Linked DNA regions of Mus musculus: all the other regions are reported to be linked to region 1. The links are microRNA targets in miRTarBase. Many come from high-throughput screens and were not tested one by one. Region 1 holds a microRNA gene; each other region holds the end of a gene's coding sequence.

What was found. The annotated mature microRNA mmu-miR-124-3p reads UAAGGCACGCGGUGAAUGCC and lies in region 1 at 2,144-2,163, opposite strand. An mRNA with a match to its seed (bases 2 to 7 or 8) in the 3' UTR can be bound and repressed. Matches are read on the target gene's strand: a 7mer-m8 pairs with bases 2 to 8, a 7mer-A1 pairs with bases 2 to 7 and ends in A, and an 8mer does both.
Region 2: miRTarBase lists Pdpk1 as a target of mmu-miR-124-3p. Seed matches in the 3' UTR shown: 7mer-A1 at 3,148-3,154 and 8mer at 1,492-1,499.
Region 3: miRTarBase lists Plcg2 as a target of mmu-miR-124-3p. Seed matches in the 3' UTR shown: 7mer-m8 at 616-622.
Region 4: miRTarBase lists Rabl2 as a target of mmu-miR-124-3p. The part of its 3' UTR that is shown has no 7-base or 8-base seed match.
Region 5: the mRNA of Gpr21 is a reported target of mmu-miR-124-3p. The part of its 3' UTR that is shown has no 7-base or 8-base seed match.
Region 6: miRTarBase lists Actc1 as a target of mmu-miR-124-3p. The part of its 3' UTR that is shown has no 7-base or 8-base seed match.
Region 7: the mRNA of Tjp2 is a reported target of mmu-miR-124-3p. Seed matches in the 3' UTR shown: 7mer-m8 at 871-877.

Annotation. Positions count from the first base shown.
Region 1 is chr14:64,588,568-64,592,871 of GRCm38, reverse strand. It overlaps Mir124a-1 (microRNA 124a-1), which reads right to left and starts at 2,215; the gene lies at 2,131-2,215. It overlaps Mir124a-1hg (Mir124-1 host gene (non-protein coding)), which reads right to left. Exons shown (of 4, transcript NR_040709.1): 2 at 3,905-4,095; 3 at 2,913-3,031; 4 at 1-2,599. Mir3078 (microRNA 3078) reads right to left here and starts at 1,687; the gene lies at 1,601-1,687.
Region 2 is chr17:24,075,261-24,079,564 of GRCm38, forward strand. It overlaps Pdpk1 (3-phosphoinositide dependent protein kinase 1), which reads right to left. Exons shown (of 14, transcript NM_011062.4): 13 at 4,232-4,304; 14 at 1-3,882. The coding sequence ends at 3,766. Among named protein-coding and RNA genes, the nearest start is that of Kctd5, 3.9 kb to the left of the region's middle.
Region 3 is chr8:117,634,465-117,638,768 of GRCm38, forward strand. Plcg2 (phospholipase C, gamma 2) reads left to right here. Exons shown (of 33, transcript NM_172285.2): 33 at 321-678. The coding sequence ends at 363. Among named protein-coding and RNA genes, the nearest start is that of Sdr42e1, 37 kb to the right of the region's middle.
Region 4 is chr15:89,579,839-89,584,142 of GRCm38, reverse strand. It overlaps Rabl2 (RAB, member RAS oncogene family-like 2), which reads left to right. Exons shown (of 9, transcript NM_026817.3): 7 at 136-233; 8 at 461-544; 9 at 713-1,616. The coding sequence ends at 793. Among named protein-coding and RNA genes, the nearest start is that of Rabl2, 9.9 kb to the left of the region's middle.
Region 5 is chr2:37,517,788-37,522,091 of GRCm38, forward strand. Gpr21 (G protein-coupled receptor 21) reads left to right here. Exons shown (of 2, transcript NM_177383.4): 2 at 1-1,494. The coding sequence ends at 706. The region is part of intron 13 of Rabgap1 (RAB GTPase activating protein 1); the gene reads left to right. Among named protein-coding and RNA genes, the nearest start is that of Gpr21, 3.3 kb to the left of the region's middle.
Region 6 is chr2:114,043,967-114,048,270 of GRCm38, forward strand. Actc1 (actin, alpha, cardiac muscle 1) reads right to left here. Exons shown (of 7, transcript NM_009608.4): 6 at 4,157-4,304; 7 at 3,316-3,643. The coding sequence ends at 3,500. Among named protein-coding and RNA genes, the nearest start is that of Actc1, 6.8 kb to the right of the region's middle.
Region 7 is chr19:24,091,600-24,095,903 of GRCm38, reverse strand. It overlaps Tjp2 (tight junction protein 2), which reads left to right. Exons shown (of 24, transcript NM_001376368.1): 24 at 314-1,408. The coding sequence ends at 479. Among named protein-coding and RNA genes, the nearest start is that of Gm41824, 13 kb to the right of the region's middle.

The DNA.
Region 1 (4,304 bases):
CTCAGATCCTCCGTAGCAGATCCCAGGCAGGCCTTATGGATGGTGCCTGCGGTTTGCGCTCTCAGAGCAAAAGCATATTGGGTTTCTACCTAAAAGGACTTTACTTGGGGAAGCATCTGGGGGTTACGTAAGATGAAATATCGGTGAAGGACGAGGGGACATTTGAAAGAATCATGGGGAAGCAATTACTGAGTAGAGGATTGCTAATGGGGATATTTGTGGTCCAGGGGGGTTGGGCCATCATCTGCTTAGGCCATTGCTTGAAGGCAAAATAACATCTCAATGAGCACGGGGGGGGGGGGGCAAATGGGTGTACCCCCAAAATGGTACAGCACACTAGCCGTTCTCTTCTAACCCATTTGTGAAGTGAGGGAGCACCCCAGGAAAGGGCCAATTTTTATTTCAAGGGAGGTAGATTTTCTCGAAGCAATGGCTATGGCGTCTCTTAGGACAGCCATTGTGGCTGGGTCTTTCCCTTTCTGCCTTGAAAGCAGTCTGGCTTGTCCGGTAGGACTCAGCCAGAGACACCCTCAGGGTGTGGGCACTGCAGCTTTCTGCCTGCAAGAGTAAGCAGGCGGTGGCTTATTTCTGCAGAGCGGGAGAAGGTTCTGGGAATGCCTAGGTGGAATGTGGTAAATTGAAGCTCAGCCTGGCTAGCTCTAACATTCTCTTCTGTGAGGAAATTTAGAAGTTGAAATCATCGTAAAGAAGGACACATAGTAGATACTCAAGAAATAATGAATACTCTTGAGGAAACTAGGCCAGAGAGGTACTGATCTATGATATACCCTCAAATACTAATTTACTAGACTAGATGAGGCTGAGGCTTTTTGAGACAAGAGTCCTCCATTAACTTCAACGGATGCTCTTTTAGACCCTGATTACTGTGTTAGGAATCAGATTAAACTCCTAAACATCCTTCATGGGCTTGGCCTTGCAAAGGCAGGCCTCTGGCATGACAGCAGGGGGGAGGGCTACAGCCTGCTTCCTGGGGGTGGGTTGTGGGGGGGGGGAGGAGGCCAGCTCTTGGCCTCCTTTCCCTCCCTCTGCTGCTGGGTCCTGCCCCTCCTCCATTTACTCCACCTGAAAATTAATGAGTTTAGGTCGGCCACCAGGCCATCATCCATCCACTGCAGGTTGGCGGAACACTGAGATGGAGACGGGATGGAACTGTGTCGGGGGCCTCCAGGACCAGCTGCTGCTGTTGGGGGCTGATTTGGGAAGCAGGTGCTTCAGGATGAGGGAGGATTAACCCTTTCTGTTCCTGGACAGCCTGCTTCAAAACAGACTTTCCTTAGGCCTCCACCTTACTCATGCTGATTTTCCTTCTGTCTTGGGGTTTTAAGAGCGATGGGGAGAGGCCCACACTCTGGGGGCTGGGGGTGGGCTGCGCCTCCTTTTCCTGTAGCTTCTGGATTTCTGCCTGAAACTTCAGCCACAGCCCCAAGGAGGCTGGGAGGCCCTGCTTTAGAGCAGTGGGCTAGCTGTCAGTTTTGATGGAGTCTGTGCGCTGTCCATGAACAAATTTGCCGATCGCCTTCGCTCACTCCAGAGATCTGTTTAAGCTTGTCAAATGCCCACAGCTCTCCACCAACGGGTGACAAACAGCTTCCCCTAAAGACTACCCCAGCAACCCCAAGCACAATACAAGGTAGCTGCAGTCTAGGCTTTGGGGCAGTCTGCCAGTCGCATGGGTACTTGGTTATTATTATTTGTTTAAGGGTAATAAATTGAAATCCGGAACTAAGACAGGTAGGGATGAAGGTGTCGGCCTTCTACAATGGGCAGGGTCCCAGAGCTGAGGGGCACATTTTACTCTCCAGCCGTCCCCAGGCTATTTTCTGCCGCCGCCGCCGCCGCCGCCACCACCACCACCACCCCCCCGCTTGCATAGATCCGTGTTTCTGTCACAGAATGAGTTGTTTGCTTCCTAGATTCTATTTGCATCTGCACAAACCCCTCTCTGTCGGTAGCTGCACACCTCCCCACCCTAAGGGCTACTTTGCGAGGCACTCAGAAGCCTGCTACCCGTACTGTGGGCGCCTGCAGCTGCAGCGCTGAGATCTGCCCAGGGCGTTGTGCTGGGTCGATCCTTCCGTGGCAGGCCCTCGTGGACCCAAGGTGCTCAGACAGCCCCATTCTTGGCATTCACCGCGTGCCTTAATTGTATGGACATTTAAATCAAGGTCCGCTGTGAACACGGAGAGAGAGGCCTTTCTCCTGAGGAAGGAAGAAGGAAGGAAGGAAAGAAAGAAGGAAGGAAGGAAAGAAAGAAGGAAGGATGGAAAGGAAGGAAGGATGGAAGAGAGGGAGGATGGGAGAAAGGAAGGGAGGAAGAAAGGAAGGAAAGGTGGAAAGAAAGGGAGGGGATGGGGAGAAGATGAGATGAAAAAAATGAGAGATGAGAAAGAAAAAGCTGGCGACGCGTGCGTGTGCGTGCGCACTGACAGCAGGGAGGGTGTGGGGTTGGGGAACGCGATGAGCTAAGGACCACCGCATCCTTCCTACCGCAGCTCCCCCAGTCACAGACAATGAGATAACAGCCACGTCCTCCGTAGGCTCTTTGTTCTCCCGCATCCTTTCGTTTCCAAGCTTTTTCCTGCAAAGGGGAGGGGGGTGGAGGGTTCGGGATGTGGGTGGAAGTGGGAGACGGAGGGGTGCCTCCCCCGTGTTAATTACCCCGACTCCCTCACTCCTCTCCTCGCGCTTCGCCTCCCCTGCAGTTCCAGACAATGAAAAAACATCAACCCCACCTCGCCCCACCGCAGCGAATCCTACCCACCCAGTTCGCTCTCAGCTTCGCCTAGGAAACTGAGGGGGGCCAGGAGGAGGGAGATGACGGAGAGGAAAGGGATGGGAAGCAGGGGCCCAGCTACTGCTGCCTGGGCAGGGCTTGTGACCGCCGCCTTTACCTTGAGTGTAGGGTCCGGGTGTAGCCTGGCCGGGCGTGCCGCAGGGCAGAGCTGCTGCGGTCCCTTACCAGGATCTGTGGGAATCAGCCTTCCGGAACTCTCCTGCTGCGGTCCTCTCGCTTAGGTCCCAAGTGGTGGATGGGAAAAAGGAAAAGAAAAAAAAAATAAATAAATAAGAGCGAGGCCCATCTGGCCCCTCATCAGCCTTGTCAAGTCTTGCATACGCTAAAATGCTAATGACCTAGATAGCTCATGCAAAATGCAGCAGGGAGGGACAGAGAAGGAGGGGGAGCGAAGGGAGAGCGAGAGAGGGAGGAGTGAAGGGAGAGGGAGGGGGAGACAGAGGGAGGAGGGAGACTGGGAGGGGGGAGGGGGAAAAGAGAGAGAGAGAGAGCGCGCACCCCTACATGTTCCCCCACCCCACCCGTCAACCGGTTTTACAGAGGTAAAGGGTGGGTGTAGATTTTAAAAGGTCACCCCTATAGAATGTAGCTGGGTGGGGTGGGGGAGAGATCCCCAAATCCATAGGGACAATAAAATATTATTTTAAGACCCCTCCCTCTCTGCTCTCCATCACTCTGTTTACACACAAGTCCAGTCACCTTATGCATGTACATGTCAATTTCACAAGACTGCTTTCAACAGACACCCACGTTGCCATTCCCTGAACAAACCCACCCAGTGCACCAGAGTGAGGAAGGTGCTTCCTAACCCACAGACCTCCCTCACCTGGTCCATCCCACTCCCTACTAGTGCCTTATCCTTTCAGGCAGTCGTCCCCCCCCCCCCTTTCTCTTTTCTAAGCCTTCCCCATTCTCCTTCCCAATGGCTCAAAAAAGCCAGGTAGAGGGCATAGAGGACAAGTTAAATCTAACTGGATCGGTTCCGTTCAGCTTCCCACCCACCCCACAGGGTTGGGGGACACAGTCTTTACCTAACACTGACCCTTTTAAAGCATGCCACAAAAATCAATAAAATTGAGTCCGAATAACCTCAGAGGTCCGCAGGTCCGGCCGGGTACTGTTGGGCAGCGTTGATCTCTCCAATCGGGGAGCCAGAGTTCCGCGCGTCCCAAGACGCTTTGTCCCGGAACCCCCGCACAATATCCTCATCTTTTTGTTCTCCTTTAAAGGATCCTGGTTGCAGTCCGCCGCGTTTCAGCCAGTCCAAACCAAAGGCGGATCTATTGGAATAAAAAGGGATGGGGATAATATACACGCAGATGGATGCGGGAGAGTAGTGGAGGCTAAAGTCAGCCCCGCAAGCAAGGAGCGGCCTCCCTGGCCAAGCCCCAAGTGCTTCCTCGGCTATTGAAGGGAATTGCTGCTGGCAGGCGCTGATGCTGGCTCCACCTGGCCGGAGGAAAAGCATCCTGGCGATGACCCTGAAAGA
Region 2 (4,304 bases), not on the chromosome of region 1:
CTGCTGACTGTGTAGAAGCAGATTCAGTACCATCGTGGACACAAAGTACAAGATTCTGAAAACATCACCAAGCACTTGGAAGCCTTAGAGCAAAGATGGAAAAGAAGTAACATGCAGGAGCAGATTCTTGCAATGCAAATGAAAAGACTGGCTTTTGGAAAAAAAATCTGTCACAAAGGAATCTGCAGTAATGACATTTTTAGCATTAAAAACAAAAGCAGCCATAGTCAAACTTTCTTGAGAACACACAACTTAGCAAGAACTGATGTGTTCAAAGTCCGTAGGACACAAGGAAGGTAGGTTTGTAACTGGAACTCAGAGGGTCTAAACATCAGACCGAGGAGGAGGAAAAAATACCCAAAATACCACTTCAGGTGTGTGAGGAAGGGGCAAAATCAGAATAAAAAATCAAAGACTTAGAAGTATATTCACCACAGCATTATTTAAATAGCAAAAACAAAAACAAAACACAAAGGAAACCAAAAACCATCTGAATGTTTTACAACAGGGAAACAACTGCATAACTTATAAATTTACAACCACTTGACTCCACAATTATCAAAAACATGCTTTTGAAGAACTACTCACGGCCACGGCATGGAGAAATGCTTAAGAGAAAACAAGTCAAGTGAAAAAGCTGGATGTAAAATGATGAATGTTGTATGTGTTCCCAGTTTGGTTTAGAAAGCAAACAAGGACTAAGGATGCACATCAGTGGTAGAGCACTCGCTTAGCAATCCTGAACCTCACTATTCAATTCCCAGCACTGGAACAAAGAGTTAGGGAGAACAGCATCTACATCCAAATGTTCACAGTGGTCTCTGAATGACGGGCCTTCCTTTATTCTTTTGCTTTCAGAAAACATACACTTCTTTAAGAAAGCACACAATTACCTACGGCCCCCTTGCTGGTACTGGGAGTCTGTGCCACACAACTGTCGGCAAGGTTACTTCAAGCATGAATCACAAACACTAGGGTGGCCCAAAGAGAGCTGCAGCAGTTAACGTTTCTATCAGTTTCAGCCTAACACAAGCCATCTCTCAAAGTGGTTTTTTACTGCATCTAACTGGGTTTTAGCTCAAAATGACATCTGAGCCATGATGCCACACCCTGAAGTGGAGAGGCTCAGCTCTACATGGGGAGCCCACTGCCCAGCTGGAGCACAGAAAAACAGGTGGAATTGACCCATTCAAGCTAAGTTTCATCTGTGATGCTGAGAGAAGCCAGGGCTCAAGTGGGCTGTGAGGTACTACAGTCTGCTGTACCTAGGTAGGAGAAGCCAGAGAACAGTCTTCAACTTTCTTTCCATCCTTGCCATTCCTAGGACACATGATTTCTAGAGGTACTAACAGGGTATTTCTCTCTCTCCTTACATACATCCCAAATTTACTGTTTCACACACACACACACACACACACACACACACACACACACACACACACACACACACACGAGTTGTACAAACTGACATCCACATCCTGTCCTACAAAGTAAGGCACCTTCACACAGGGTGACGGCTCTAAGGATGACTGGAAAAATGAAGGTGATTTAAGCCAGGTTAAGAAATGAATGTACATGGTTCATTAAAGGAAAAAAAAATCAAGGAAAAGGGGGCAGTAAGGACAAAGGTGACCTGGGAAGAGATCAGCTGTTGTAGCTTGGGCAGTCATGGTGACCACCCACTACTAATAGCTCAGCTGAACTCTGATTTTAGAGGTTAGGGTGGTGCTTGGTAAAGCCCAGGAGGTAGTGTTGCTCTCCAGGGAAGGAAGCAACAAAGGACTCTCCCATATACAGCCAGCTTTGTGGTCTAATTCAAGCCAAGCCTCAGTCCACTGCTCCCCTGTAGTTAAATGCCCTCAAAGATGCTTTCCCTGTGTCTGCATGCACCTGAGAGACAGGAAGCCACTCTTACTTACATGTACAAATGTAGGATACAGGGCACTCTGAGGGCAAAATAGCCACAAGGCGTGAGCAAGAACAGGACTCCAAGGAGGAAATAGCCAAGTGTACTTAACAGGCTCTTCAAAAACCAGGAGAAATGAGTGCCCACTTTCACTCTCAGGCTGACAGCATCCTAGGCCATACCTGTTCTGTGGGTTCTACTGGCAAGTGAGGTCCTGCTCCTTGCTCACCTGAAGCTCTTCTCACACGATCTAGCTGAGTCTAAATAAAATCCCTGTTCCCACCCAGCAACCCTGCCACAGAGTGGTGGCTGACTTTTCATCCTCACTCTACCCCAGCTGAACAGAATCACTCTTGTTGTTAAAGATTTGAAGTAGAATCTTTCCCCCTCTCAGTTTAGATGGCCTGGCCCACAGGTAGTCACTGTAGAGTAGACAGAACAGGGTAACCTCTGTTGTTGTGTGTGTTTGGGGGCGCCTATGTGAAAGTCAATAGAAATGGCAAAATTGTTGCTGCCATTGGGACATAGGAGTCTGAGGTGCTACTGTGAGCAGATGGGAGATGCCTACTTTTCTCCACTAGACACCAAGGGCCAACTTTCAGGGATATCCTAGTCAAAGAGAGGTACAGCCAAGTCCCTCAAAAGCACTCTGCAAGAAATGCCAAAAGAAGTGTCCCATTACTGGCAAAGAATGCCAGCATAGGCAGGCTCAGATTAAGAGGGCTGTTCCTGTGAGCAGGACAGTGATAACATCCTTTCCAGGCAAGGCCCACACTTTATGGAGTAGGTGACCAGGCAACATGAGAAGGCTTCTAGATTTTCAATCGTTGTAAAAATGGACCAGCTGAGAAGTGTTTGCCCACAGCATCGCAGGTGAGGCACACCCTAGGGTTTGCTCGGTGCTTGCCTCATAGGGCATGTGGTCTACTCACCTAAACCTGTGCAGAAACTCCAAGGAGGGCCTGCTGTCCCACTTCTCTACATGGAAGCAGTGGCCCAAGCTGGATTCTCTACAGTACCTCCAGCCTTGCCCAGGTTCAGGACAGGATTCTGTACCTGATAATAATCTAGTTGGTGTTACCTAGGTGCTAGTGCGACAGCAACCCTCCTGGACATGTGCTTGGCTTAGTGTCTAGTTCACTGGATAAACTTCTAGGAAGTGGAACACTAGAGCAGAGCCCAGTAAGAGCACCTGTAACTACAACAGCCTTCATTCTTCTCACCATACAACCTGCCTGCTGTAAGGCAGGAACCACAGAAATCATGTCACCATAAACACACCTGACCAAAGTTCTAGGGCCATACAAGAGATTCAAGGAAGGGAGAACACATACAAGCTAAGAGCCCTGTACCCACAGTAAGCTGGTGACTACCCCAGCAGGAGTGAAGGGGCTCCTGGGGAAGGATTCTGCAACAACTAGGGTAGGCCAGATACACCCCGTCCCTCAGTCACAGCAGGAGCTGTGTGTATCAGGTGGGGAAAGGTAGAGGCAGGCATGCAGTTCCTGTGGATGCTAAGAGGGGCGGGTGATGCCAAATCTGGCCACTGGTCTGGGCAAAAGCTGGGCTACCGTGCAAGGAGCTGGGTCTCCATGGCCACAGCAGTGCATGGAAGCCACCACAGAGCACAGAGAGCAAGCAAAGCGACCCTGAATTCCTGTTTGTTGGCTATTTGTTTTGTTCTTTGTGTGGTTGGGTTCTTTTTTTTCTTTTCTTTTAAATAAAAAAGCTGCAAGATTTCTGCCATCTATGTTCTCCACGAGATGGCTGGCAGGTGGTCTGGAAGCGTCCTGGGTGGCGGCCGAGCCGCGCTGGGGCAGGTATCCTGGCAGCAATAGGCAGCCCGGCCGCAGGCCACGTCACTGCACAGCAGCATCTGGATTGCTCTGGTACTGCTGCCTCCAAACCTCCTGGATCTTTCTGCACCACTTGTGAGCATTCCCGCTTGGATCCATCAGGTAGTACGTCCTGTTAGGCTGCAAAACAGAGCATCTGATGTCCCTCAGGGAGTCCAGTCCCCACCCAGCCTATCTTGCTGTCAATGCTGCCAGCACCTTTTTGAAGCCTGTGGGCACAGTGGGCTTCTTCATTCTACAAGTGCAGAACTAAAATATGTGGGCAGGTGACCTACCAGAAACCAACATCAAGCAGAAATCTATCTCTGGCCCAATTCAGGCCTAAGTTGTTCATATAGGTCTGTCTCTAGGACTCAGGAAGCTGACCTGACCCTAGATGCTTCCTTGGCCAAAGCAAGGGCCACTTACAACAGAGATGCAGAAGCCTATGATGAGGCTACAGTAAGATGCCTTATAGGGATAGACTCACCGTGTGGACAAAGAAAGTTTTAAAATTCTTGGCTTCTGGTCGGAGTTCTTGTGACCATGGGATTTCACCTTTC
Region 3 (4,304 bases), not on the chromosome of region 1:
GTACCCATAACCCCTCCAACCCCTCCACGTCCCCTCCAATCCCCTAAAGTCTTGGAGCTTCTAGGAGCGACCTAGAGGCTTCCTAACACCTTAAGCAAATGAACTAACCTTCAAAGAACACTGCCTAAGCTCCGCCCACCAGGTGTGTTCTCATTGGATCCTTAAAGAGCCGCCATTGCCAAGGACCAAGGGGGAAGTGGACATTCCCCAAGGCTCAGGGGGTATGCTAGGAGCCCAGAGCCTCCTCCACTCAGCCACAGGTGACCTGCGAGGTAGGGTGGGAGTTACCCACTGATGGGACTCAATCTCCTGTATTTCAGGCTGAGAGAGAAGAGAGTAAGCAACAGCAGGTTCTACTCCTAGAAGCCGTGTGTGCGTGCGCGCATGCGCACGGTGTTCACGAGCGCATCTGGGTACGGGAGAGCCTTATAAACAGCCCCCAGGAAGAGATTCATCTGTGACATTCATCGTCCTCTCTCCGAGCCACTCACCATAGAGATGACAGTTCTGAAGACGCCCCCGTGGGCAGGAGGCGTTGAGACCTTCCTGCTATTTTTCCACCTTGGACAACTTTCTTAACTTATACTACCCCTGATAGAGGATCCCCCCAACTGTGTGCCTTTTGAACTTCCCTGTTCTCAGCCTCATTGAATAAAGACAACAGTTTCATGCCGTTAAGCGTTCTGTACCTGATCTGTACAGTAAACAGGAGTTCCTCTGTGGTGAGCAAGCTTCTACCTGTGTGACCCAGGTAACTGACTTCCCCGGAAGGTGAGCTGAGACACGGGGAACTAATTCATTAGATTCCAAAAAAAAAGATTTCAGCTAAGAGGCAAATGATTCTATAGTTCAGGCCACCACTGTATTCTACACAACCCCAAAGGCTGGTCAGGAGCTGACCTCAATGTGTGTTAGCTACCACTGGCAAAGCAGTTGTCTAGACAAAGCTACATGGAATCTGCAGAAATGGGAGATAGAGTCTGCCCTTAAGACATTTTTTCTTTGACTCATGGCTAGTGATATTGGAGTGCTGGGGTGCTAGCTTATTGCATGTCCTTGTTGTATCTGCCCCGACTCATCACATCCAGGGTCCTCTTGAGTCTGGTAGGAGGCTGCTGCCAAGATCCTCTGGGGCCACAGCCAATAGCATCATTGCTGGTCAAAGAGGCAGCTGAAAGGTAGGTTTACAGGCAAATTTCCCTGGGTTATCGAACATTCGGGTGCATCAAGTTAAGCTCTGATGGAATTGATGTTAGAGTGTTTCAGAAATCCTGTGGCTACTCCAGACCCTTGTGCTACCACTGAGCTAAGTCTCCAGCTTTATAAAACTCTTAAAGGAGAAGACAGACAAATAGTAAACTCAGGGCTTCTTAGTGAATGGAGAATTGCCTTGGGAAAGCAGGTGTAGCTATGAACAGCTGAGATCTGACTGTGGGTGGGGGAGGAGCCAACAGTGAGCTGCTTTGTAACAGAGTGGAACCTGGGGTCAGGAACCCTCTGGGGTCTCTCCCCTCTGGGTGAGATCCAAAATGGTGGCCTTAATGTATGTGTTGCTGGAGAAAAGATTAAAAACTAGCTCTCTCTCTCCTGTCCCGCCATTTTCCAAGTCCCCTGAGCACAGCTCCATCATAGACCAACCTCCAAGATAGCGTCTTCTGTCCTTGGAAGAAAGCATTTGTTACTGGGTCCAGGGGCTACATCCACCATGAACCCAGAGGAGGATTGCTAGCTTGTAACTCCTCTGATTCCCAACTTGGTATTTCCTCTGGTAATTGACAAGGAAGGAAAGGAATCCTGCCAAGTGGGTGACTTGGGTAAAAGGCTGTGTGAAGCCTGCATGGAAGGACATGTCAGGCTCTGTAGCAGCTTCCCACTGGCTGGGACCAGGTAATGTATTGTGTCGTCACCTGTGCACGGCAGAACTTGGACTGCTGCCATCCTCCCACCCATCATCCCTCCACCTTGCTCTGTTTTAAAGTCCAATTGCTAAGGCTGGCGTCTTCATTGCTTAAAATGGGTATCTTCGCTACTGTATCAAAGAAAGTGAGAGATGGCGGGTAGGAGGCAGCAGGAAGCATCTCTTTTACAGTGAGGTGTACCCTGCAGGACAGCTGTACCAGTGAGCTGGGAAGAACGGTCTCTTCCTGCTCCATCACTAGGGGGCACTGGTGAGGTTCTTTTGTCCTGAGCTTGATAGGGTCATGCACTGATTTGTTTCTTGGTGGTTGACGTCAAGGTCCGAGTCAGTTCCTTTACAGAAGGATCCCTTGAGCCTGTCCTGATGCCATGTGTCCTTGTCTAGACACCGTGAATGATAGTAGCAGCACTGGTGACAACAACCATGGATGGTGTCCTGGTGAGAGGACAGAATTAGCCAGAGCCAGGTTGACCCCATGGCAGGCTCCAAACTGGCAGTTGGGGGAGATTAGGCTTTCTTTTCTGTTTCCCGTAATTGAAAAAGTCCAAAACAAGTCAATTCCAGGGAAAACTACCCCTCATGGGCAGCCAATCGGGAGCTGTAGATGCTGCCCCACCACTTAGCTTGAGCCAAGTATAGTTAACCAGCAAAAGTCCCGAAAATCCCCCAGAGCCTTAACCAATCACAAGGGCATCCATACCCCTGGAGACAGAGCCAACCAACCAAGGGAAAGAAAGGTAAAAGCCACCCACTCCTACCCTAACAGGCTTTAAATTGACCCTGCAAAAGCCACACCTCTATCTTCCATTCTGATGCATGGTGGACCCTTGCATGCAGGTTCTCTGAAGAATAAACGCTTTTAGCGGTTGCATACTATTTTGCATCTGGGGTATCATTCTTCATGAATCACAGAGACCCTTACAATGTCACACTGGTTTGCCCACCATCCTTTGTGTATTATTTGGGACATTGGTTACATGAGAAAGTACAAAGCCAGGTGGCAAAGGTCACCGGGCACGAGAAACTTCAGTAAACAAAGTTGCACAGTTTGTGTGCTGCAACGTGTAGGTATGTGGTAATTAAACAGGGTGTAGAGGCCTGCATTTCCTAAGGTGACCCTGGGATCCTCTAGCCTAGCATGATGTGTGCATCCAGTCTACTGTAGAAAATGTTTGAGGGCAATTAAAAAAATCCTTTTAAAAGATTTTATTTTTAGGTGTGTGCATATGTGTGTCTGTGGGTTAGTGTGTGCACATGGGTGCAGTACCCACAAAGGACAGCAGAGGGCGTTGGATTCCCTGGAGCTGGAGTTAGAGGTGGTTGTAAACCATACAACGTGGATACAAGAGTCCAAACCCAGGTCCTCTGTAAGACCAGCTAGTCTTGACTTCCCCGGTCTCTCCAGCTCCACCCCAACACATTCTGCTCTTTTTTTTTTTTTTTTTTTTTTTAAACAAAGCTGCATAACAAAACCTAGTCATTTATATGTTTCCAGACCAACTTACAACCTAAATAAAAGTCACCATGGCCAGGGATCTTAAAGCCACTGACCAGGTATTGCCTACAGACTCTTATCTTCCTGTTGTGCCCTTCCTTTTCTGAGACTCACCTAAGCAGCCGATGCATTGTCACCTTCGAAAAGCTCGGATAACAGAACAAAAGCCCTTCCACACCCAGACCCCAAAATGGTGGCTCCTGGCCTTTGCTTTTGTGAATGGGCTGAACATCTGGTGGATTTTTTACTTTTTATTTTTATTTATTTTATTATGGTTTTCCGAGACAGGGTCCCCCTGTGTAGCTTTGGCTGTCCTGGAACTCATTTTGTAGACCAGGCTGGCCTCAAACTCAGAAATCCGCCTGCCTCTGCCTCCCAAATGCTGGGATTAAAGGTGTGCGCCACCATACCTGGTGGATTTTTTTACTTTTAACACTGAGAATTTTAAAACAAAGTTACACAGATGTTCTAACATGTGCCCATGAAGAAGAGCCCTGCTATGCTGCTATCCTGAAGTGTCTCAGCTGTCTCCTGACCTGTGTGAGCAGGGCTCACTGGCACCCCTCCCCACAAGAAATGTAAAAGGGAGACCATGGCGACTGTGCCTTGGCTCCTTCCTAGGACGGCAGTGCTGACCCGAAGCCAGGGGCTATGAGTCACTCAGAGGAGGCACCATTGTCTCATGCTTCCGAAGTATCTTTTTACTGTGTTTAATGATTCATGTGTTACCACTTGTATCTTGTGTTTTTTTATTGATCAAGCGCAATTAAAAGAATTTAAAGCCTTAGAGCCTCCCGATCAGTAGATAGATAATATGTAAATTTTGTTTAATAGATACAGTTAAGTGGCGTGGAAAGCCCAGAGTAATTAGACCTCAGATGTGGTAGGGGG
Region 4 (4,304 bases), not on the chromosome of region 1:
CCCTGTCTTCCCAAGACACAGACCCATATTACCCATGTCAAGGGCAGTCCCTGACAGTCCCTTCCCCTCTCACCCTGCCTCCAAACTCTTCCCATTGCCTGGGTGGACAAGCCAATGCCCCACTTCTCTCTGCAGCAGACATACAGATGACTCAAAAGAATTTCAGTTTTGCCAAGAAGTTCTCCCTGCCCCTGTACTTTGTCTCGGCTGCTGATGGTACCAATGTTGTGAAGGTAATGGCAGCCCTGAGGCAGTCTGCTGACACCTGACTTAGGAGTCACCGGGAGGAGAGGAGGGTAGGGAGGCAAGGACAGGGCGTGGCTGGGTGCAGCAGAGGAGTCCACTGCCTGTGGGACGGGGTGACGAGAGGGGCCGGTGAGGGGTGAGACTGCTGGTTATAAAGCTGGGGTCCAGGGTCCTCCCCACAGCTACACTTCCGCCATTTCCGCCTCGCCCTCAGCTCTTCAATGATGCTATTCGATTAGCTGTGGCTTACAAAGAGAGTTCCCAGGACTTCATGGACGAGGTTTTACAGGAGCTCGAGGTAAGCCGGGCCCCATTTCAGGTATGGTAGAAAAGGGCGATGATTTCTTCAGAGATGTGCAGTACAACCTAGCACATGGGGTTTCGCCTGCCTTTGCAACCCCTCGCTGCCTCAGGACTATAACTGGATAGATGCAGGGTCAGGCTTCACCTATGACCTTGTTCACAGAACTTCAAGTTGGAGCAGAAAGAAGAGGATACGTCAGGCCAAGAGCAGAGTGACACGACCAAGAGCCCATCTCCTTCCTAACCTGAGGACATCCACACATGGCAGAGTTGGGGTATTGGGAGCCATTTGGAACACCCTACATCTCTGGAGAACATCTCTAGGCTACCCCTGCTCAACTTCCTGCAAACCCACTGTTCTGTGGTACATGATGAGGTCAATACAAAGAAACTAGACAGGCGTGATACCCACCATCTTCCTGCATCAGGATGAGGGATCCGTGTCATTCACACACACACCCCGACCCCCACCCCCACCCCAGCAGCCTGATAGTGCAGAAACAGTGAACATGCTCATGTCTTCTTAGTAGACATTTAGGTGTTTGTTGTCTTTCTTCCCAAACTGACCTCAGGGACTGTCCCTTCACTTCTGCCGAGAGAATGATGCAAACCCTTGAGGACGATGTGTTCCTATGGAATCCATCTGTGACACCTCTGTCCCTGTCAACAATATTTTTGACAGACAACCATTAATTCCAAATTTGCTTTTCTAGCACCAACTGTTTTGGGAGCTCTTCTCGGTCAGTTGAGAGCACAGCAGCAGGACTCGATTGCAGTGCAGTGAAGACAAGTGTAGCCATATCTGCTTATACACACACCTTACTGTTCCCCACCACGTGAACAAAAACTGCCTCCATCTCAGGGTAGAAAGCCTTCCTCCACCTCTCTAGGGCGAGTTAAGCACTGCGTCTTCTGTGGGTGGCAGCAGACAGCAGGGAAGAGCTGCCCTGCTTCTCTGCAGCTTGCTAGATGATGTCACGATTGTCTTGAGCATCATTTGCATTATCATTATTTTGTTTATATTGTCTCCTTTTTTTACAATAAAGATAAAGTTTCGTAAACACTAAGGGTCTCAGTTACCTTTCTATTGCCATAGCAAAACGCCATGGCCAAGGCAACTTACAGAAGAAAGCGTTTAATGGGGCTCACAGTTTCAGAGGGCGAGTCTGGGACCATCACCCTGGGGAGCATGGCAGCAGGCAGGAAAGCATGGAGCTGGAGCAGTGGCTAGGGTGTCACACGTGGTCCTCAGAGCCCATCCCCAGTGACCTCCAGTGACCCCCAGCCAAGCTACTCCCCCTAATCCTTCCTCAATAGTTCCACCAGGTCAAGCACTCAAACTTGAACTAACAGGAGCCATTTTCATTCAAGCCACCACACTGAGTGTCTGTGCTCTGTAGTCTGAAGTAGACAAAAACACAAGCCACACAGATGAAGGAAGACTGCCTTGATCTGCTACCATGTTGTAGTCCAAATTAGCTCTTGGTTGACTATAGAGAGCATTTCAGTAGAATTTATTGTTTGTGGGTTTTTTTTTAATTAAGTATAGATTTGAGATCTCAGAAACAAGTGTTTCACCTTTAAGTAGGTGATGCTTGCATGTTCAACTTTGACTTCTCATCAGGGATTCTCCGAAATGCATTATGCAGATGAGATAAGATTTTTAGAAGAAAAATAAAAACATGTTACCCAGCATAGTGGAGCATACTGTTAAATCCCAGCAGTCGGGAGGCAGAGGCAGGTAGACCTCGGAGTTCAAGTCCAGTCTGGTCTACAGAGTGAATTCCAGGCTATCCATAGCTATAAAGTGAGACTCTTCCTAAAAAGAAAAGCAATAGTTATGGTAAATGATTAATAATCTGGGAGTGTGTGTGCATGCCTGCATGCATGTGTGTGTGCATGCCTGCATGCATGTGTATGTTGCAATTTTGAGCACTGGACCCAGGACCTCAAGAGCTAGCTAAATAAGTGTCCTACCTTGGAACTACTCTCTGGCCAGTGGGTATTTTTCTTTATGTAAATAACTGTAGTGAGATAGATTTCACGTACTCAAAAATGTACCATTATTGGCTTTCCCATAGCTGTTCTGTATTAGGTTTCCTTGAGACAGCCTAAAGACATCTTTTTAGATGGCCTGCTGGGGCTGCTTTCTCAGCTGAGTGAGGGGAACAGAGTGAGGTGAGAAACTGAGCAAGATCTTATCTCAGCTGCAGGCCAGCATTACAACTACCACCTCACACACCCCCGAGATGCATGGAAGGACAAACTGTGGAAGATTTGGTCCTGCCTGAAGACCAGGGGACTGTCAGCCAGTGCACACATGAGGCACAGGAGATCATCTGTATCCTCCAGGCAAAGCGGCTCCTACTTTAGCTCAGACACTTCTCTGGGGAAACTGCATTTCTCCATCAGCACTGGTGCTGGAGCCAGAATGCTCATAGATAACGACTGCACAACAGATGTCATTAAGCCACGCCTTTTATAAGTTTTAGGGTGTCCATTTATGATTTAACCAGTTTTTGAAGGGACTAAATTAGACTAAATAGGGATGCAATGTCTGAGGTGAGATGCACACGATTAACCTTCCGGTACATTCCATACAGTCACAGTGTGGGACACCTGCCAACTCTGTGTGGTTCCATCACTCCAAAGTGAAGTCTGTATTGGTGGTGTCTGTGTTCTCTCTCTGAGGATTTATTCTGAATATTTCATATAAGTGAAATCATACAATATGTGACTTTTTGTGTCTAACTTTCTTCCACCTTCAAGATTCATCCAGAGCAGGGCACAGTGGTGCATGCCTTTAATCCCAGCACCCAGGCAGAGGCCAGCCTAGACTACATAATGAGTCCCAAGACAGTAGGACTATGAAGAGAGACCCTGTCTTGGAGAGAGACAGAGAGAAGAGAGTCAGAGAGAGACTGATTTTCATCCATGCATCGTGTACTTTGTTTCTTTCATAATTAGACTGTGTTCTATCATGTATATATTCAACAATTTGTTTATTCATTCACCGATAAATATTTGACCTGTTTGCAACTTTTTTAATCTATTGAGAGTACCATGGAGCCAGCTGTGGAGGCACTCAAGGGTCAGAGCAAGCAAATCACTGAAAGATCAGGGTCGGTCTGGACCAGATACTCAGTCAGTCCCAGGATAGCTATGGTTACACAGTGACCCCCTGACTCAAAACTTTTAAGGACAAGAAAAAAATTGCAAATTTTAGCACAAGTAGATTGGTATAATCTTAGGAATTTTAATACCTTTATCATCAAACATCTATCACCCTCAAGTCCCATTCTCCACGAACCTTATACAATATATTCAAACCTTCTGTGATGTGGCTTTAACTTGGTTCTGTTCTTCCTGTTGTTTGAATGAAAATAGCCACCGTACACTCATACGTTTGAAAGCATGGTTCCCAGTTGGTAGAACCACTTGGGAAGGGTTGGGAGGTGTGGCCTCATTGGAGGAGGTGTATCACTGGAGGTGGGTTTTAAGATTTTAAAAGCCCAGTTACCCTTCTCTCTGTGGGCCTCCTACTTGCCAAAAAGTATATAAGCTCTCATTTACTAACCCAACACCGTGCCTGCCTGCCTGCTGCCATGCTCCCCACTATGATGGTCATGAACTCACTACCTTGGTTCCTGTTGCTGTGATGAAGCACCATGACCAAAGGAACTTGGGGAGGAGAGGGTTGATTAGGCTTAGGCTCGCATATCACAGTTCATCATCAAAGGAAGTCGGAACAGGAA
Region 5 (4,304 bases), not on the chromosome of region 1:
CTCTATGGCTTCTCTGGCCTGTATCAGCATTGATAGATATATTGCCATCACTAAGCCTTTAACCTATAATACCCTGGTTACTCCCTGGAGACTACGCCTCTGTATTTTTCTGATTTGGCTGTATTCCACCCTGGTCTTCCTGCCTTCCTTCTTCCACTGGGGTAAACCCGGATATCATGGAGATGTATTTCAGTGGTGTGCAGAGTCCTGGCACACCAACTCCTACTTCACATTGTTCATCGTGATGATGCTGTACGCCCCAGCTGCCCTCATTGTCTGCTTCACGTATTTCAACATCTTCCGCATCTGCCAGCAGCACACAAAAGAAATCAGCGAAAGGCAAGCCCGATTCAGCAGCCAGAATGGGGAGACTGGGGAACCCCAGACCTGTCCAGATAAGCGCTATGCCATGGTCCTATTCAGAATCACCAGTGTGTTTTATGTCCTCTGGTTGCCATACATCATCTACTTCTTGCTGGAGAGTTCTACTGGCTGCAGCAGCCGCCTTGCATCCTTCCTGACTACCTGGCTTGCTATTAGTAACAGTTTCTGCAACTGTATCATTTACAGTCTCTCCAACAGTGTTTTCCAGCGAGGACTAAAGGGCCTTTCAGGGTCTCTGTGTACTTCTTGTGCAAGTCACACCACAGCCAAGGACCCTTACACAGTTAGGTGCAAAGGACCCCCTAATGGATCTCATATCTGAGGGGGGCTCATATATTCAGTCGCTCTATTTTCAAGGAGAAAGGATGGCTTTGGTTCAGTTTTTTTTCTCTCCATCTCTGCTTCCAGTTCACTAGAGAAGTAAGAGCAGCTACAGACTATCCAGATAACCTTCATAGTTTGCAGAAGTTGCTTCCTAAATGAGATTTAAAATTAGAAGAATCAGGATCATAAAAAGAATCACTCTTGATCCAGTTTTTGAAATGTCATGGAAGTGACTACAGTTCTCAGATTCAAAAGGAGTAAAGCCATAGTTGACACCTCTCCCCACTGGCGTGGCTGAATCTGGGTGTGAAAAGCATCAGCATGTTAAAAATAACCATTTTCTTGCCCCTTTCTGGATTCTTAAATGCAAGTTGGAATTTATGTGCAATTGGTTATCTTCTAACAGAAAATATTAACATATATTGATGAACTAGCAAGGATTTTCTTTATCTGTGCCAAAATATAACTGTACTGCAAGTTTCAGCATTCATTTGGATAGTGAAATATTTTCTTTTCTTGCCTTTTGAGAGCAATCTCCATAGGATGAGTAATGTGAGCACGGAATATTACTTTATAGAGTTTTGAAATGAAGCAACTGTGCAGTGAAGCCATACAGTGTGTGAGAGCCAGCTGCTTTCACGACATGCTTCTGAGCATCGTGAGCATGTGTGCAGTAATGACATTACAGTGCTCTTTCTGGGCCTCTGTCTGTAAATATTGAGAATGTGTACACTGAGTTGGATTTTTTATAACAAAATGTATTTAATCTAAATAAATAATAGAGGGACAGCTGTCCAATTGTAATGTGAAAATATGTTTTTTAAAGTGACTGTAGTGTTTTCTGTTCTAATCCAAAGTCTTCAATGAGAACTGAGTCCACTGACGCAATCAGCCCAGGGTCAATGTAAACTGTCTGTCTTCTAAATAGTCAGCTAGCATCACAGTTTTGGAAAACATTTTTTGGACCCTATTAAGGAGGCCTCCTGGAAGGGGAGAAGGGGACTCTGGTTGGGCCAAGTCTCCTTCATGCTATCCTATTTTTGGAAAAAAATCCTTTGAGATACATTTCTTGCCTCACTTGTCTGGTTTTGTTTTTTCAAAGCATTAACAAATGTATAGAATTTTATTGTTTAGAACTCAAATGTTCTGTGTTTATATGTAGAGTTAACTTTTTAAAAGTGTCATTTTTATTGTCAGAAAAATTAATTGGCCTCTGCCTTTGGCTAGAGGTTGTAGTGTGCATACAACAGTTATATTTAGTGAAGTGGACAATGGAGGAAACCCAAAAAAGGACACAGATACTTTATAAAATAGGCAGATATGCCTCGGCTTTTCACCCTGATGTTAAAAGACTGTTCTTTTAAAAAAGAAGACATGTTTCTTTCCTTACACACACACACCATTCTGGTATTGCACCCTTGCAAACAAGGCAAGTAAATTTTACTTGTATATCCATAGCAGAATTTATTTGTTCTGTTTGCTGTGTTTTCTGATTTTCCTAAAACTCACTATCTAGACCAGACTGGACTGAACTCACAAAAATCCACCTGTCTCTGCTGGGATTAAAGATCCACCCTACCCTACTTCCAGCCAATTTTGATTTTATGTTTTAGACATTGATTTTATTTTAACCTCATATGTGTTCTGCTTTAAGTTTTTTAAGTGACTGAGAATTATAAAACCATTTAAACTTCAGATTCCAAGTTCTATTGGCAGGTGGGTCTCTTGAGTTCAAGGTCAGCTGCTGAGAGGAAGAGAGAAATAGATTCTGAGTTCTCCAAATCTTGCTTGTTCTTTATATGTAGTATTAGCCAAGTTTGGCTCTGATGATTCAGAATTTAGAGCTCATGCTGAAAATGCAGGGTTAGAAATAGCTTTGTTGGATTTCAGCTTCAAGGAGAAAATCTTTTCCCCTGGCTTCTGAAAAACAGTTTGTAATACATTTCTCCTTGCATTGCACAGCTCTATAGATTTGGTTTGGATTTGGTTTCATTTCCACATGGTGGCTCACAACCATCGCTAATGGGATGCAATGCCCTCTTCTGCTAGGTCTGAACACAGCTACAGTGTACTCAAATAAAATAAATAAATTTTTTTAAAAAAACTGTAATAAGAGAGTTGACTTCACTCTTAGAAGGAGTTAAGTCCCTTTTGTTTTTTGTTCTGGGATTCCATTTTGTAACAGTGAAAAAGAAAATTGTTCTGGTAATATCTAACCAAGCTGATATGTTAATCTAAACACAGCTTTTTAAATAAGTTTTTTTTTTTTTAAAGCAGATGCTTAGTTTTACTAGTATTAATTTCTGGTTTTATTAAAGACATTTTTTAAAAGGGTAGAATTTATATTGCTTTTTGGTGCACAGACTAAAGAAACTAAGTAAGGTAAAGGAAAACATCCAGATAGACCTTCTATTACCCGAGGTACTAACAGACGTCTTTTCAGATTGTCTCATCTCCATTGTGCTGTGTAAATGTTAAGGCTTAAGGAATCGATTCTATAGCTCCATTCATTGTCTGCATGGCCATTTTATTTATAATTTGCTGGGTAAGAAGAAATGAAGGGCATAGTTACATAATCTTGGGGAGGGGGAGATTCTCTGCATCATAGACTCAGTTGGTGTTTAATCTTTTTATTCTGCCACATTTATGGCAACATTTGATGACATTTTGTTTGAATACCAATCTGACTAGTTCAGAGTCAGAAAAAATGCATACTTTTATACCTCAGATAGCTCATTTAACTCTGGTATTTCACTAGCGTCAGAATACACATATGCTTTTAGAGATAGTGTAAAATTACTTTGTAGTAAAGTTTGAAGTAAGAACATACTAATTGTTTAACTTGTAAAAGAATTATGTTTTTATACAGTGATTTCAGTGAAAATATTTGTGCCACTTGGAAGTGAGGAAGTAGTTGCACTTGAGCCAGTACCCACCTCAAGACAGAGCACTGAGTAGCCCAAATGGGTACTAGAATTATTCACAAGCTTGCTTCTTCATACTCAAAGTCCTGTTTTGGACAGGTTTTCTTTTTAGCAGTATTGCTGGATAAATTCTATTTGAGTCTTTTATAGTGGCTTTTCCTTTGTACTTAAATAGTTTATGTAATATTTTTAGGATTGGAGAAACTTGAACTTTCATACCATAAATGAACTATCTCTTTGAGTGTAACAGCAGGTCTACAGGCTCAGATGGTAGAATGATATGGGAAGGGTTTCCTCGGCTTTTCAAAGATCCATTAGGAAAATGTGCAGTGACTTTGTAGGAAATATCTTAATTGCATTGGCCATGTGCTTCTGTATTAAGAAGATCTGTGAAATACGTTACTGGCAAACCAGGGTTTGTTGTTAAATGATCAGTTTGGAAGACATTTCATGTGGGGAAATAGTAGCATTGTAAGTTTGTTTTTTGTTTTGTTTTGTTTTGTTTTGCTTTTGAAGCCTGTAAGTCATGGAATAATGTAGTTTTGTATCATTTTCCTGTCTCAGCCAGCCTAAAGAATAATCAAATGTAAATATACTAAATTATATACAGTGTTGATACATATTGTTGAGGTAACTGTTTCTTATGACTGGCTGCAAGTGAGTCACTGGCAT
Region 6 (4,304 bases), not on the chromosome of region 1:
AAAAAGGAATGAATAAATGATCAAAAGTCCCAGAAACATTGACTTAGGCCCTAAAACAGTAAATCAGCCTCAGGGCTCTACATACTTTCTTTAGTAATTTCTCTTTTCTCTAATTCTGCTCTCTTGAATATTTATAAACACATCTACAGTAATATCCATTTCTCACACACAAAACTAAAAAATAGTATTTGGAGACAAGAAAAATATTAGCAATGTTTCTTTTCATTATAATATAAGAAAAATATAAATAATACAAAGTTTTGTACTTAGCATTTTAATGAAATGTTACTGTAAACATATCAGTCATTTTACCCACACGAAGGTGGCTTTTGTAAAACGTAATTAGTACCTTTCTTTAGCACAGTTTTTGAAAGATTCATCTGTCCTAGTATCTTACATCCAATTTTCAAGTATTAATAAGAAAACCAGACTGTAGTGTAAATCTGTGTGTTTACTGCTTTGGATACAAAGGTCAGACAATAATTCTCAAAGCTTCTACTTCTAAATAGAAATGATATACATCTTACATCCACTCATAAACAGAAATACCAAGAAATTAAATCCAAGTGAACTATGAGACCTTAAACTAGTAATACAATATCTAGATATGAAATTTATAATATGTATGCACCTGACCTGAGAGATGAAAAAGACCCGGAGAGTATCTGCATTGTACTCCATATGCATTGCCCAAATGTGTCTTCTTGTGAGATCCAGCTTTCAAAACAACCCATTTAGGGTACAAGATACTGCCAAGGGAAAAAGATCTAAAACAACGCTTATACCTTTTCTAAAGAAAAGGCCACTGAATCCGATTACTGTTTACTCATTATTTCAAACAAGACCTTCTTCTTGGCTTATTCTAAATATAGAACCCTGAGTTCCCTAAGCAAAGAAAACATGATTTGGTTCAACTTTCCTTTCTTGACCCTTCTACTGAACCTGGCCCAGAGTGAAGGATCAAGAGACACTTAAATTGATGGCCATAAAGACACAGTGGTGACCTGGAATGGTCAGGACAGCGGCAGCTTACTAAAGATGTCTGATGAGCCTGAAGTGCTCCCGATTTTGAACCCGACTTCCAGAAGGGCAGAGAATGATAGAATGGGGATACCCTTGATAAACTATGCCTAAAGTTAGAAAATATGCTTTGAGAAGGAAGCCCTGTTGCATTATTGGTCAGAACATCTGAATTCTGTCTTAAGTATTCCACAGACAAGCTGTGTGGTACTGTACCAGGTGCTTAATTTCTCCATCTTGATTCTCTCGATAGATGAAATTTAATTAAGCCCATCAAACACTCTGCAAGATTCAACAGTTCATGCACAAGACAATTTGAAAATGAAGAAATTTCAAGATTGTGCAATCAGGTTGAAACCTCCTTTTCCCAATTAGATTTCCTAAAATTCTCCAACTCCTGCCTGGCTGCTTTCTGTCTGGTCCTTCAGCTTCCTCCACACTCCCTCCTGCTGGGACTTCCTCCTTGATTATCCTACCTAATTATAATTCTTCCTTTTAAAAAGATACATTTATTTTGATTTTATGTACCTCGCTGTATTGTCTGCATGCATGTGTGAAGGTGCCAGATCCCCTGGACCTGGAGTTATATACAGCTGTGAGCTGCCATGTCAGTGCTGGGGATTGAACCTGGGTCCTCACACCTTTTACAGCTCTATTTTGAACATACTCATGCTCAGTGTTCCTAAATCTGTCCAGGAAAAGCCTTAGAACTTCTACTTATGATCCCCTTTCAGCTGGAAAAGGGTTTTTGATCCTAGGCATATAGCTTTGTAAAGTAGAAACAAAAATCATAGAGATAAATCATCAAGGAATTTATTTTCACATAGTTCTTTGGCATGCATCTAAATTTACCAGTTTTAAAAGGTGAAAGTAAGTTTGCATACTAATGAGGTAGTTGGACTTAATACATGAAGAATTAAATCATGGCTGAGCATTTGATATTGTAGGACACAGATTATCTTTAATATTTTCCCAAATTGATCTATGTTTTGATTTTTGTAATCACTAGTTCTGACACTTCCACTTTTCATAAATAAATAGTTCAAAATGGCAGAAGTACAGTGAGGGCCATTTTGGAAATTTCTGTAAATCCTGTTCTAGTCTCAGGCCAAATATTCTTCCTTTAATACCTTTTAATAATATAACTGAAATCAGCAGCTCAGGCAACAACTTTAAAAGTCAAAATTCTAACATAATACTGACTAACAATGTACTAACTTGATACTCACATGCTGAAAACAGTAAAAAAAAAAATACTAAATTGCGTTTGAAAATGAACAGGGAACTTTGTACACTACATGCAGAGAACACAGGAGCCTTGAATCTGAGCTGTTCCAGGCAGGGTTTGTTGCTGTCCCATGGTGTGACATAATGCTGCATGTGAAATACACGCATGTACTCAAAACCAGTGTTGCAGTGAAGTCATGTGATACAACACAGGCAATAACCATCGCAAACACCTTGTATTAATTTTACATTTGATTTGGAATTCAATTTTGGTCATAGTGAATTCATGAGCCATATAATGTTTTTTGTTTTGTTTTGTTTAAAAAAAAAAACTGATGGTTACCAGTATATATGCGGTATGACAAGTCAACACCTGGCAAGTCAACCTTCTCATTGCTTTCATTGGCTTCGAGTCACACTACAGGCTGGAGAGCTGTCTCAGTGGCTAATATCCTTAATATCCCTATAGATGAACCTGGTTTGATTCCTAGCACCTATATGGTGGCTCAAAACCATCCAGTTCTAGCAGATCGTATACCCTCTTCTTACTGTAGGCTCCAGGCATGCACATGATGTACAGATATACATACAGGCAAAACACTCATACACATAAAATAAGATAAGATAAAATAAAATAAAATAAGTGAAAAAAAAAACAGACAACTGGGAATACAATGAAAACACAGAGATAAGCTCATTTAATAGCCTTGACCCTCTTATTACCATCATGTGTATTTTCTATAAAGTTATAAAATATGTGATATGTGCTAAAGCAACTTTAGTACCAAACATGGCAACTGGTTGTAGATAATTGTGTTTTCTATCTTCATTCCTTACTTATACAGAACTAAACCTAACAACTAAACCACAGAACTAATCTTTGCTTATAAGATTCAAAAATATTCATAACTCCATCCCAAAAGATGTACCTCTGTAACTCCTAGCTCAATTCAACACCACATGAATTCATTGGGTAAACTTTGTGTTGCACTAATATTGTAATGCTCGGAGTATCAGAGTGAACACCTTCTCCATCCCAGGCCCACTCACACAAGAAAGAACACAGGCTTTTGTAGGTTGCAAGTCCTGGTCTGGTTTATTTATAAAGCAATAAATATTTGAAGCACAAACAAACTGCACTTGTGTAAACAAACTGTACAATGACTGATGAGAGATGGGGAGGGGGCTCAGAGGATTCCAAGAAGCACAATACGGTCATCCTGAATATAAGGTAGGCTAAGAGAGAGACATCTCAGAAGCACTTGCGGTGGACAATGGATGGGCCTGCCTCATCATACTCTTGCTTGCTGATCCACATTTGCTGGAAGGTGGACAGAGAGGCCAGGATGGAGCCCCCAATCCAGACAGAGTATTTACGCTCAGGGGGAGCAATAATCTGCAGAGAGAAAACAAAACCATCAGTGTGTTCTGAAGTCCCCAACAATGAAGTGGGCAACAGGCTTGGAATATTCACAGAAAAACCATCACAGATTAACCGATAGTAGACAACGTAGGAGATGCTATACAATAAGCAATGTAGCCAATCAGGCTTTGCAATCCTTCCTGTATTTCATCATTTCTCTGCTTATTTGTACTAAAGAATAATATTCATGAAGGATAGTTCAAACGCTGGGGACCTTTTAAATGTGTAGATAGGTTTAGTTATTGCTTCCCCCCCCCCCCACACACACACCGTGTTTCAGATATTTGCTTTTATTCACTATTTAGAAGCAGTCCTAAAGTTCCGTATCTGTGGAGAGTGCTAGAAAGAAATGAGGAATAGTGCTAACACTAAGTAGAAAAAGTCTAGAGGATAGGAAGCTAAGATGCAGGAGAAGGAGGCTGGGAAGGAAGCTTGCTTTAGGGTACCAAGTTCTGCCTTTGCCTCCCCCTTCCAAGTGTTCCTGACCTTGATCTTCATGGTGCTGGGAGCCAGTGCAGTGATTTCCTTTTGCATACGATCGGCAATACCAGGGTACATGGTGGTGCCTCCAGATAGGACATTGTTGGCATACAGGTCTTTGCGGATATCGATGTCACACTTCATGATGCTGTTG
Region 7 (4,304 bases), not on the chromosome of region 1:
ACACTGAAGAGAACTCTTTGCTGGGGGGGGGGGGGCCTGTAGTGGAGCACCTAGGAGAATACATCTTCCTGTGTTAGTTCAGACAACAGGTAGCTGACCAAATAGGCCATGGCCTTGACCCATATCGTATCTCTTCCCTTATCACCCTGTGAGCCAGAAGAGGGGCCAGCAGTGCCCTTCCTGGTGGTCATATGTGCTCAGGGGTTAGGAAACAAGGAAACAATCAGCCCTGCTGGGTTCATAGCTTCAGTGACCCCCGTGGGCATCTAGATGATATTCGCTGTGTTTGATAGCCTCTTTTTTTTTTTTTTAGTTCTAGACCCCCAGAGCCCCAGAAAGCTCCTTCCAGACTTTACCAGGACACCAGAGGAAGCTACGGCAGTGACCCCGAGGAGGAGGAGTACCGCCAGCAGTTGGCAGCACACTCGAAGCGTGGTTACTACAGCCAGCCCTCCCGGTACCGAGACACGGAGTTATAGAGCTTGTATGCGTGGACTCCTGCGAGGCCACCTGGAGATCTTCTCCAGTTAAAACGCACTGCAGAGATACGGTGGGGACCCAGGCAACAGATGGCATGAGTTATCAACTGAAGGCTCTGTTTGTGGGACTGGAGTGAAGTTGATTCTGACTTTCTTGAATGAAGAGAAACAGTCTGATAACTGTTACTTGCTTTGGTGTGGACCAAGATCTGTATTAACCTCTCTGTATTTTTTAATATGTATATCGAGCAATAACTATCTTTCCTCACTCGTGGCTGCCTTCCTGCACAGCTTCAGTGTGAAGCAGATGTGAAGAGGGAGTTAAAAAAAAAAAAAAAAAAAGGACTCCGTCTCAGACTAAGTTCAGAAGTATTTTATCACGACTCTCTAAGTGCCTTTGACAAAATGTGTCTCACGTTTGCCTCCCTCCCTGACGCTTCATGCAAACCCATAATGGACTAAAACTTTATTTTGACTAAATTTTTATACCAGTTTAGCAGCTGTGACTGCCCCTGCACCATGCCACCTTTTCAGGGCATTGTCTGTAGTATTTTCCACAAATTCTGACTGTACATAGGACAGCGACCCTCGGGAGTGTGTCTGCCTATCAATTCTGCGTAGCTCGGAGGCCAAGATTTTAGAGTGTTTGTCCGTTGTCTGGAACCACATATTCCACAAAGGCAGAGACTTGAGAAAAGGGTATTTTGTTTCCTCTCTATCAGAGTATGTACTGACATCGGGTGGTTTTGTAATTTAATAAAAAGGAGTACAAGAATGAGTTTAGTGCTGAGTCTCTACACACCTTCCTTCTGGGCAGTGTGGGGGGAACCCAAGGTCCTCATGCATTCAGAGTGCTGCTTCACCACTGAACTACACCCCACTCTTCCTGATTTATTTTAATTAAAAAAATTTTTAAAAAGACATAAAAATGTGTGTATGAATGTTTTTCCTGCATGCATCTGTGTGTGTCACATGTGTGCCCAGTGCCTGCAGAGGTCAAAGAGGGCATCGGATTCCCCCCAAAACTGGAGTTACATTGGTTGTGCTCTACCATGTGGGTGCCAGGACTCAAACCTGGGTCCTCTGGAAGAACCAAAGGTTTTCTAAAGCTCTGAGCCGGTTATCTGGTTCCTCCTTCCTGTAGTCACACAAGTGAGAACTTACACAACAGGGAATGGAAACATGGGAAGAAGAAGAAGAAAATAACCCCTTCACAGGTCTGATCTTTCTCCAGTCCCTTATTCATGAGTGTCTGTTGTGTGTCTATTGCGTGTCTGTGGGAGAGCCCCGAGGCTAAACTGTGTTGTGTGTAGTTTTACGTTCTATCCATCTTTGCTCCAGGAGATGACCATGCAGCTTCCCTTGAATCATCAGATAAAAGACACAGACACACAGTTGTTCCTCCTTTTCAACCTGCCTTAAGACACAATTAATTGCTGGGTGTCACTGGCCTGGAAAAGCATGCCCTCATCAGTCTCTCCTCCCACCTGCCCTCCTGCCAAACATCCCTGACCACCCGCCTGGAGGAGCTGCCTGTGTGGCCACTCCATTTTGAGATCTCACATGGTTGCCCAGTTCTCCCCTCCAAAACATGGAAAACTCCTTCTCCTTCCTGTGTCTCTCTGCCTGCCTCCCAGGATCTGGAAGTTCTGCCTGTCCCTTCCACTCAACAATTGGTCCATGGCTTTCTTTACTGACAGTGTACTGGCTAGTTTTGTGTCAACTTGACACAGCTGGAGTTACCACAGAGAAAGGAGCTTCAGTTGAGGAAACGCCTCCATGAAATCCAGCTGTAAGGCATTTTCTCAATTAGTGATCAAGGGGGAAAGGCCCCTTGTGGATGGTGCCATCTCTGGGCTGGTAGTCTTGGTTCTATAAGAGAGCAGGCTGAGCAAGCCAGGGGAAGCAAGCCAGTAAAGAACATCCCTCCATGCCCTCTGCATCAGCTCTTGCTTCCTGACCTGCTTGAGTTCCAGTCCTGCATACTTTGGTGATCAACAGCAGTATGGAAGTGTAAGCCGAATAAACCCTTTCCTCCCCAGCTTGCTTCTTGGTCATGATGTTTGTGCAGGAATAGAAACCCTGACTAAGACAGACAGATTAAGAACCAACTGGGGGGTTGGTGAGATGGCTCAGTGGGTAAGACTGCTCTTCCGAAGGTCCGGAGTTCAAATCCCAGCAACCACATGGTGGCTCACAATCATCTGTAAGATCTGACTCCCTCTTCTGGAGTGTCTGAAGACAGCTACAGTGTACTTACATATAATAAATAAATAAATCTAAAAAAAAAAAAAAAAAAAAAGAAAGAAACAATTGGGGAACAGGACCTTAGCATAAGAACCGCCCACTACAGTGCTGGGTTTGTGCTTCTGTTCCCTATTCACGTTTTATCAAGAATGTTCTTTCACGCAGTGAAGAGCTCCGGGCCCGTCGTGACTCATCACCACAGACTAATTTTGTTCACTTGCTTCATAAGTGAACGCTCACCTATTGATCAGTTTGACTATGTTTATTTCTCTATCATGTTAGATGCGCTCCTTTTATCTAAGCTGTGCTTTGTGTGCCAGCCATCACGTCAGCCCTCCAGCAGGTAGATTCTCAGCACTGGAATTAGCAAGGTGAAGTGGTGGACTTTTAAGGCTTGTGTTTACTACTAGGTTGCTTCCTAGAAAAACTCAGCTGTGTGACAGTTTAGGAATTTAAGCTCTCCTACAAAACCTGTATATGTTCCAGATGCATGAGAATGCTTGAGCCCCCGCACACTCCTGATTTTTGTTTTCCTATCTTCTGGCAAATTTTTTCTCTCTTCTTTGTCAGTTCTAAAAGCCCCTGTGATGGCTAATCTTAGTTGTCAACTTGACATACTTGGGAAGAGAGAACCTCAAAGAATTGCCTCAGCCAGCACGCACACGCCTTTAACCCCAGCACTTGGGAGGCAGAGGCAGGTGGATTTCTGATTTCGAGGCCAGCCTGGTCTACAAAGTGAGTTCCAGGACAGCCAGGGCTACACAGAGAAACCCTGTCTCGAAAAACCAAAAAAGAAAAAAAAAAAAAAAAAAAAAAAAAAAAAAAAAAAAAAAAAAAAAAGAATTGCCTCTACCAGACTGGCCTGTGCATGAGATCTTGATTGATGATTCATATGGGCGGGTCCAACCTGCCGTGGGCGGGTCCAATCTGCTGTGGGCGGGTCCAGCCTGCGTGGGCAGTGCCATGCCTGCACAGGTGGTTCCTGGTTGTATGAGCAAGCTGGCTTAGCAAGCACAAAGGACACAGATCTCCTCGGGGCCACTGCCTCAGTTCCTGTCTCTAGTTTCCTGCCTCGAGCTCCTGCCCTGGCTTCCTGCAGTGAAGGGGTAGAACAGGTGGGCTGAAATAAAGCATTTCCTCTCCAGATTGCCTTTGGGAATTCAAACGAGGACAACCCCATTTACCCTTCTAGGTCTAGTTAATACTTGGCCTACCATAGTGTCTCTGATTTTCCCAGTCAAACTTATCAACTCCTTTAGCAATCGCATGGCTCTTCATGTATGCCCATCCATCTATCTATTTTCAAGAGTAGTCTAGCATGCTAGAATACTTCATACATGTGGCCTTCACTCACACAGAAACATACCATATACATAAATAAAAATATAACTCACAATTTTAAGAAAGGAGATGGGCTGGAGAAGAGGTTGAGCAGTAGAGTGTATGTCTTGCCTTCAGAGCACCTGAGTTCAGTACCCAGTTCCCATATTGGGCAGCTGACATCTGCCTGTAACTCTACTTCCAGTGGCCATTGGTACCCATACAAGTTTAGCATTAACTTACACACACACATGCACA